2 linked regions of the Drosophila melanogaster genome follow. The protein of the gene in region 2 interacts with the protein of the main gene of each other region in a pairwise test. Each region holds a gene or a part of one and is shown on either strand. Other genes may lie near its edges.

Region 1 (4,827 bases), on a different chromosome or scaffold from region 2:
CGCTAGGTGAGTTTTCGATCAACTATATTAGATCGTAGAGCATCCTCTGATGACTTGCTGTTTGTTACCTTGCCTTCGCAGACTACGATGATAACATAAGCAACACCACGCCATCCAATCATGCAGCCAGCAGCGGCAGCGGAGCTGCGAACAACAGCAGCAGCAGCAACAACAATAACAGCAGCTCGGCGGATCGCCAAAGCTCCGCCGTGTCGGCGGCAACCGCTGCAGCCGCTGCCGTTAGCCAGAAGATCGCCCAGGCTTTCGGTGGCGGCTCATCGGGGTCGGGTTCGGGATCCGGCTCCGGTTCGAACGCATCAGGCGGCAAGAACAACGGCGGCGGCAGCAGCAGCAGCAGCAACAACAAACATAACAGCAACAGCAAACATGGTAAGAATGAGGCAGCTGCATCTGCTGGCAGTAGCGCAGATGCTGCCGCTGCGAACATCAAAAAGGATGAGAATGGTGCAAAGGTGTATGATGAAAAACGGCGGCATATAAAAAGCATTATTGACAGGATACCCACGCAAAAGGAGGAGCTATTTAATTATAAGCTAGACCGCAACGAGATTGACAGCGGTCTAATGGAACGCAAAATACGTCCATGGATAAATAAGAAAATCATCGAGTATATCGGTGAGCCGGAGCCGACGCTAGTGGACTTTATATGTTCCAAAGTGTTGGCCGGCAGCCCGCCTCAAAGCATCTTGGATGATGTGCAAATGGTGAGTAGTTTGAAGCGATACGATACGATACGATAACCACTACCATTCTATGAACTAATCCAAACTCTATCCCTCTCGCTCTGTTTCAATGTTTCAAATCTTCAGGTACTCGACGAGGAAGCCGAGGTCTTTGTGGTGAAGATGTGGCGTCTGCTCATTTACGAACTGGACGCCAAGAAGAGCGGCCTTGCGGGGAAGTAGTAAGGAGATGGGAGAGATGCCCGTCGTGCGCATCACTGGGGAACTGGGCGGGAGCAGGTGCGGATCCGAGGTATCGATGGAGGAGCAACAGCGTGAAGTTAGATTCTAAGTTACTCTTACGGAACCTATGCGATTACAAAAATGTACATAAGGGGCGTGCTCCGGGAATTGTTGCGGCCAAATGTCCAGCTTTGTTTTCTAAGCATCCGTCGCGTGCAAGGGATTTACAAGAAATTGATGAATAGCGAGCGAGCCAATCGTGAAGAACAGCTTCATTGATTTCTAAATCCACCTTGTTAGCGTTAATTAATAAATATTAATCATCGATAATTGTAAATATAAACCGAACTCACTTATAAATTTACACCACCAGATGCAATAGAAATAAAAAAAATCGCATAGCCCATGTACATTTCAGTTGGTCACTAATCCAATTCTCCACTTTATTTGTTGCGTTTGTGAACGCAAATGGAAAACTATCATCATGTCAATAAAATAATGAAAAGAAAATGCTGAACTTGACTTTTGACTGGTCGCAGACGAAATGCAAGCAGATGGACAATAAGCCGTACAGGAATATTAGAAGGATAGAATTTAAAAAGGATTCTGACTGATCTGCAAACCCTGCAAGCTAAGTGAATCGATAGCCCTGCTCAGATTGGAGTACACGATTGAACGTTAAGGTTGATTGACTTTATGCTAGTGATATTGAAACGATTAAATAAATACACGATATAAATTTGACAAAAGCACGCATAACATTCGAAATCAACAGTAACACGTAGACGCGCTTGCCTCCAGATCCCGATCGCTGGCGATGTCCAGACCGGCGGAGGCATTGCCATTGTTGAAGTATTCGGAGGAGACGATCTGCAAAGCGGATGTGGATAATTGGAAACACGAATGCCAAGTATTTGGTTGGTAGCTAGCTCACCTTCTCCACCACATCTTTGAACACATCGCTGACGAACTGATCGCATTTGGCTGAGGTCTCGATGAAGAGCGCCCTGTGCTTCCTGGCAAACTTTCGACCCTCCTCGCGATCCACAACTCGCTCCTCGTCGATCTTGTTGCCTACCACAATGATGGCAATGTTGGGATTGTCGCTGTAGCTATCCAGTTCAGCCAGCCAGGTTTCCAGCTTGACCAGGCTGTCCCTGCTGGTGATGTCGTACACTAGAATGGCGCCCAGAGCCTTCCGATAGAAACTGGGCGTCAGGCTGCGGAATCTCTCGGCGCCCGCCGTATCCCACAGGGCCACCTTGTAGTCTATGCCGTCCACCTGCATCACTTTGCTCTTGAAGTCCATGCCAATCGTGACGTCATGGTTCTGGTCGAACTTGTTCTCCACGAAGCGACGTATCAAACTATGATGAAATGATAATGAAAGTTGATGAGTGATGCAAGCTTTTGGTAATATACGCAGTGGAATTGCTCCATGGACTTGGGACTGCACCTGGACTTGCCCACGCCGCTTTCCCCGATCACCAGCAGCTTGATAGCCCGATCAGCCATTGTGTGGTTTGAGCTCCGCTTAATGCTTATCACTACTGTTATTTACTTAAAACGATAAGAATATTGCCAATTGTATTATTTATGTAGATTATCTGGAGTAAGTGAGTGCGGCGTTGCCACCTTGCTGCTTTGTTTACATTCTCACGATAGAGATGGACCACTGTAACAGCAGCCTTGCCAGACCGCCACTTCGATCTAGTGGTGACCTGTGGCCGTAATCTGGCTACTTTTTTGCACACACATTTAGCTTCTTAAAATAATTTAATTCCACCCTTTTAACAAAACCGATCGGGTCTTGACTTAGGAGGACTAACTATATTTAAAAAAATAATTCTGTTGTTACTACCATAATAAACGCGCAATGAAAACTAAAACACGTTAAGCAGATCAAATTTTGTTGCCACATAGGTAACAGTGCGTTCCTTATATTGTTGTATAAAAATTAATTAAAAAAAAAAAATTAATTATAAAAAATAATTATAAAATATCATAAATTTAGGATTCCTTCTGCGCTCAAAATAGTTGGTGTTATAATTATTTTATATAAACGTTTAAATTATATAAGAAATAATTTTCCTCGAAAAATAATTCCGAAACGCGTAATGTCTTAATTTTATAGCTCTCTAAAATGGTATTATTTAGCTTTTCATTGGCATTAGCAAAATAAAAAAGTAAATATTGTGATTGAATATTTTTGCAATCGTAGTAATTTGATTTATCTATTTTAATGACGGACTCGGAACCGGTTCGATATCAGCGTTGCCACTGGTTCGACGCTCGAAGTTACAATAGTGCCACCACCAACTAGTTCTTTCCTCCAAGTCCCATCTTTCTTTTTTGACGTGACCAGCGAGAAAAATGGTTGGTATTTTGTGAGCGAAAAGATTTCTAACCTATTTTACAACGAAACGAACAATTAAAAGCCAAAGTAATGGCTAAAACGCGCCCCAAATTACTGCCGTTCATGGTGTTAACACAAAATGCGATTAATAATGCAGTACCACGCTAGTTGAGACGCGCAACGCTAGCACACTATTTTGTGCTCACCCCTAGCACCTCTGCTTCTTCTTCTTTCCTTTTCTTTTCGCCGCGTTTCCGGAGAGGTTGCGTTAAGCCACGTGCTGAATTTCTTAATTTGCTGGTTTAGTGAATACGGAAAATTCGTTGGTTTTTTTGTTCTGTGCTGAGTGTTAAAGAGCAGAGCTAGAAAAATGGTTGGTTGGTTACACCCATCGACACCCGATGCTCTCAGCCCAAGGGCCAATGAACATGCCATTTGCAGTGCAGCGATACTAATGTTCTTGTTTTCTGCCCGTTTGTTTGTGCTCCCGTCCAGGTGAAGGTTAAGTGCTCCGAGCTGAGGATCAAGGACAAGAAGGAACTCACCAAGCAATTGGATGAGCTCAAGAATGAGTTGCTCAGCCTGCGCGTGGCCAAGGTGACCGGCGGAGCTCCCTCCAAGCTCTCCAAGATGTGAGTATGCCGCGGCACAACGACAAGCGTCACGAACTAATTCCGGTGTTTTGTGCATTTATGTGCGTTCTTATCCATACAGCCGCGTTGTCCGCAAGGCCATCGCTCGCGTCTACATTGTGATGCACCAGAAGCAGAAGGAGAATCTGCGCAAGGTCTTCAAGAACAAGAAGTACAAGCCCCTGGATCTGCGCAAGAAGAAGACCCGCGCTATCCGCAAGGCCCTGTCTCCGCGCGACGCCAACCGCAAGACCCTCAAGGAGATCCGCAAGCGCTCCGTCTTCCCCCAGAGGAAGTTCGCCGTCAAGGCCTAGAATGCATCCAGATACTCCGACTGTCTATAGTGCGCGTTAAGGGTTCTTCGGTACAATGAAGAAGAAAAACTAAATAAAATCTTTTTTTTAAAGTGAAAATAGCGATGCGTGTTTGATTTTGTGACCGAAAAAACGCGAGTGGCACATGGCTTTGGCCATGGGTTCATGGAAATTAGTTAAAAAACAAAAAAACAAGTGCCGCATTCCCTGTTCTACATATGTTAGTCGGATCCAATGGGATCTACTTAACTACTTGTGGTCCTTAAGATCATTATAGAGCAAAAACGTTGAGTTAGCGCCTTGTAGAAGTAATGGCAAATCTTAAGTTCAATCTTTAATTCAGCCTTCTTTGAATATGCAAACTTGAAAAACACCAGAATTCTCAATTGGTCTACGTATATGTATTTAATTCGATTGTCTTTGATGTAAGCACGGCCATACATCGTAAATAATTATGAACTAACAAGTAATAAGTAGGTAATTGATATGAATTACAAGCTCTCGACTGCGAGCTCGATCATACTGAATATGTTTGGCACATTTGGTTAATACTATTCTTCTGCACAGCGTGAAACAGCGGCGTGCTGCGGATGACGCCC
Region 2 (4,582 bases):
AACAGGGCGCAAGCAGATTCGCTAGACTGCCCAAAAGCAAGACTGAAGATGGACCAAGTGCGGGCAATACATGTAGCAACTAGGCAAATCCCATTAATTATATATTTAATATATACAATATATAGTTTAGGATACAATATTCTAACATAAAACCATGGGTTTATTGTTGTTCACAGATAAAATGGAATCGATTTCCCAATAAAAGCGAATATGTTTTTAAACAGAATGTTTGCATCAGAACTTTGAGATGTATACATTAGATTATTACAACACAACTTTGATCAAATGTTAATCTAATTTTTATTAAAGATGTGGATCTCATCCCACAGATTGGCAGAAAGCAGAATACAAAGTCAAGAAATGGCAACGTGTAGGGAACAATTTAAAGGCGGTCGTTATATTTTTATTTTTTGTATAAAAATAATTTGATTGTTTACTAAAGTAGATAGACGAACTGCAGCTAAATATGCATCCAGTCTTTACAACTTAATCTAAGCTAGAGCGAGGGATTACTGTTCCTCTTCGGGTACCTTTCTGGCGGGCTTGTGCTTCTCGTAAGCCTCATCGTTGAGTCCCTCCCGATTCCGGGCAATCTCGATGGCCAGAAACTGGACGCGAAACACGAAGATAGAGTTGTCCGGGGAGAATTCCCTGCTGGCATCGGCGCGCATCAGGGTGCCATACGAGTAATCGTCCAACTTGTTAAACTTCTCGGCGAACTGGCGCCACTTGAGCTTCGCCGTGGCGGATTTGAGAATATCATCGGTAAGCCGGCCAACGTGAAGATCGGGAAAATCCTGCCGGAAAGTGGCGTATATCTGGTCGTCGTAGGGCGTGAGCTTCAGCTGGGAGGGATGGACGCTGGTGATGAGCTGCCGGGAATACGATGAAGCAGTGTCAACTACCATTCCTTAACATCGTTCAAAGTGTACTCACATTAAAGTGCACCTCGGCGTGTTCCAGAGCTTTTGCGGCCCACATTTCCTCCACCAGGGTGTCGTTGCCAAATTCCTCCGCTGGCCGCGACAGCAGCGACGCTCCATGCTAACAAGTCCATTAATCAGAATCGGTTAATTTCTTTTAGCCACTACATACCATCATCTCCATTTTATTTGGACAAGGTTGCTTATTTACTTTAAAAATTATTGAAACGAAAAATCACGTTTCGTACTTTGTTTAGCGCAGTGTGACCAGCCGCAAGTCGGGATGAATAACGTACAATGTCGTACAAATACCGAAGACAATATTGAATTCAAAATTAAATAAATAAATTTAAGTAATTGATATGCATTGTTGTACCAAACAGTCGAAAATTAATTTGGAATAAAATTGTTTCAAATCAAATATCTTAAAACATCAAAAAAAAAAAGAAATTTCTTTAAAATAAATAAGTTGAAATTCTAATAGCTTTTTTAAGATTTCAAGAAATTAAAAAGAAACCGAAAGAAACAGAGTCCTTTTACAATCTTATTCGCTTTGATTTTAGTGTCCGATATTTCTTTATTTTCCACACGAGGCCCGACTTGTTCGAAAGCTGTTTTTATAACTACACACGTTATCAGCACACAACAAAATTTCGGGAATCATGTTCGAATGCATAAGTTTCTTGTTCCTGGCTGCCTTGGCCTTCGTGGCCTGGGCCGTTCTCTGCTTCCAGCACTTCGTCCAGGTCCAGACGCGGCTCTCCTCTGATTTCCGAGTCGAATTATACACAGGTGAGGATGTCCATTGTTGTTTTGAGTTAAGTGAAGAAATGGTGGTTGAATCCAACACTACACTTATGATTTTTTAATCACTCTTAAAAGTGATCCTTTTAAAGCCGGATACATTAGAAGTTAATGTCTATATTATTTTAATCGTTATTTGTGGTATTAAAGGGTATTCGAGATTTGATTTAACATATGAAATAGATATCAGACATTAAGTATATGTATTAATCTTTCTTAAGATCACTTGCCAGTGATCTGGCCATGTCCGTCTTTCCGTCCGACTGAACGTAGATACCTAGAAAAGTTGATGTAATTTGGTGTTCCAAATACTTATCGACCCTTAAAGTTTTTCACAAAGTTGTTATTTACCTTTTGCCTTTTATTCACTTGTACAGAGCGTCCTGGGATTACGTTTGAGCCGCAGCTGTGCCACAGTCCCTCAGAGCAGAGTAGCTCCGACAGCTCCGACAGCACCTACCAGTTTGCGACGAGCTTCGGCGTGATCTTTGCCCTGACCTTTGGTCTGTCCAAGCTGCTCCAACTGGCGGAGCTGCAGGCCAAAAGGTATTTCAAGAGCAAAAAGGCGCTGCATCCCAAATCTGCTGCCAAAGTGCAGGACCCAGTTGTTGAGCAGAAGGCGCCAAGCCAGCAGGACGATTCGAATCCCTTCGATCTCCTGCAGGACCACAATGAAAATCTGAAGGAGCAGCTCAGTATCCTGCAGTTGCAGTGTCTGGAAATGCGCGAACTTCTGCACGAGCTGGATATCAGCAGTAGCTCCAGTAGCTATGGAAGTGTCAGATCCGGAAACCGGGTAGCAATGGCCAAGTCCTCCGAAGAATCAATGGTGGTGTGGAGGCGATCGGACTCCCTGACCGGTACGGTCTCCGGCTCATTGCACGCCGAAAAGGTCAACTCCCCCTCCACACAAAACATCTACATTACCAACAGCCACTTCCACATCAACGGACAGGTCTACCTGACCGAGAACCACGTGAACGTCGAGCTCACCCAGAACGCTTCTTTGTTCGGTCGGGGGCAGAGCGAGTTCCTGCAGGTGGCGGGAAGGTTCATCTCCGGACCAAAGAAGATGCCCATGTTAACGGGCATGCGGTGCCACAACATCCTCATATGAGGAGTCTTCAAAATCATCCATTTCACTCGGAATAAACAATGTTACTAGCAATTCAACGACGTTTATCTTTAGTAGTTGGTAATACAAGGGAAATGGTTCCATAGAAAAAGGGCATCGCATCAAATAAGGCTTGCTCGACTATAGGTTACTTTCTAGTTTTATTATTGTAGTTGATTTAACATAAATGTTTTTAAAAACTTTGGGGTTCGAGTGTTTTAATGTCATCAAGAAAAGGAATTTAAGGAATAATTCTAGCACATTATCTATAAAGGCAATAATCGCTTACTCCTTTTGATTTACAAAGTTATTAATAATGTACATATGTACTTAATTAACACCAGAAATCGATGCCATTTACTTTGTTTTAGTCTTGTATTTAAAATTGAATTATTCGTTTTTTTGTACTGTATGTTTTTTATTGAATAATTTGCTACTAGAATGATTCCGCCATGGGGTATATTGGGAATAGAAGGGTATGGCTAGCTTTATTGGTCATTGGGTAAATGGTTTTCCCCTGTTTTCCACCACCCCAATAAGTATATTTCGTTACAAACACATGGTTTTAGAGTTCAGCAATAATGATTTAGCACTTTGGGGTCGACCAAGGAAAGATTTTTTCTTTAACCATAGTTACTTTTACCTGCATGTATCACATTATGCATTGACCTGCTTGGATCTACAGAAAATCGTAAGATTAGTTGGGACGCACCGTAAAAAGATGAGTGCAGCTGCTGGAAAGCCCTTCTTTGATGACACCTGACCCAGGTAACATTGTTAAATATGCTATGTTGCCCATTTTACAGAACCAAACGACCTTGGGACATGTTTGTATATAAGCCTTACGACTTACCTATTCACTTCAGAAGGAGTACAACCCTTGTCATAGCAACATCTTTACAGATTGCCAATTCCTGTGCTTATTGCCACATTTTAAATACGCATTCGCCGTGAACAAACACGAAAATAAGGTAAGTTTAAGGTAAGGATTGCCATTGTGGGTCAATTCGTGCCGAGTTAGCAAAGTCATAAATAAACCAAGATGTATTTGGAAATTAGTGCAATTTATGTTTAAAGCTCTACACAAGTATTAAATTTCATTGATTATTAAATATAAGAAAGAGTGCAGAGGGTTCTTTTTGATGCTATGCAACTAAAAGATGACGTTTGTCACTGACCTTATAAAGTGTATGTGTCATCCATGACTACGATCTAGTCGTACCTATTCTGTCCGTTTGTTTGAAAGTTGAGATCTCAGTGTATTTAGCATTCAGGATGTAGATTCCAGAAACGCTAATACTCAAAGATCTGGGAATAACCATTATACTTTTTTGAAACCGTTTAAGTGCACGATTTTGTATATTCGCAATTTTATATTCACACAGTTCGTGTCATTTCAGATCGATGGAATCGTCAATATGCCGAGTTTGCCTGGTCAGTTACGAAAATATGGCCAGTGTTTTCGATGAGTCTCATGAACCGGGCCTATCCATTGCGTACATAATATACAAGTGCACCGGCTGGCAAGTTGAGAAGCACGATCCACTGTCCAACACCATATGCAAGTCCTGTCTGGAGGATGCGCAGAATGCATTCGATATCATAGAAACGTACGAGAGAAGTCACCAGTTTTACCGCTTCCTCAAGGATGTACGGGAGGAGGAGAGTGAAAATGATGGATCCGGATGCTCAGAAGAAGTGGAGGCAGCTGAGAGGGATCTCCAGGATGGTGCCGACGACG

Evidence for each region. Proteins that work in one complex are often made in the same cells at the same time.
Region 1: the proteins of CG7202 (region 2) and RpL35 interact in a two-hybrid assay, tested with the Drosophila melanogaster proteins (one large-scale study listed by BioGRID).

The regions. Positions count from the first base shown.
Region 1 is NC_004354.4:5,669,221-5,674,047, forward strand, and holds RpL35 (ribosomal protein L35), read left to right. Parts: upstream 1-3,180; 5' UTR 3,181-3,299; coding exon 3,300-3,302; intron 3,303-3,513; exon of another isoform or gene 3,514-3,652; coding exon of another isoform or gene 3,653-3,655; intron 3,656-3,777; coding exon 3,778-3,914; intron 3,915-3,996; coding exon 3,997-4,228; 3' UTR 4,229-4,327; downstream 4,328-4,827. Other genes in the region: CG4119 (uncharacterized protein), read left to right, coding at 1-6, 82-725, 831-926; Rab18, read right to left, coding at 1,695-1,796, 1,861-2,293, 2,383-2,441; Tre1 (trapped in endoderm 1), read right to left, coding at 4,746-4,827.
Region 2 is NT_037436.4:21,489,710-21,494,291, reverse strand, and holds CG7202 (uncharacterized protein), read left to right. Parts: upstream 1-1,518; 5' UTR 1,519-1,585; coding exon 1,586-1,715; intron 1,716-2,104; coding exon 2,105-2,844; 3' UTR 2,845-2,893; downstream 2,894-4,582. Other genes in the region: CG7519 (uncharacterized protein), read right to left, coding at 510-872, 937-1,044, 1,096-1,107; Neu2 (Neuroectoderm-expressed 2), read left to right, coding at 4,291-4,582.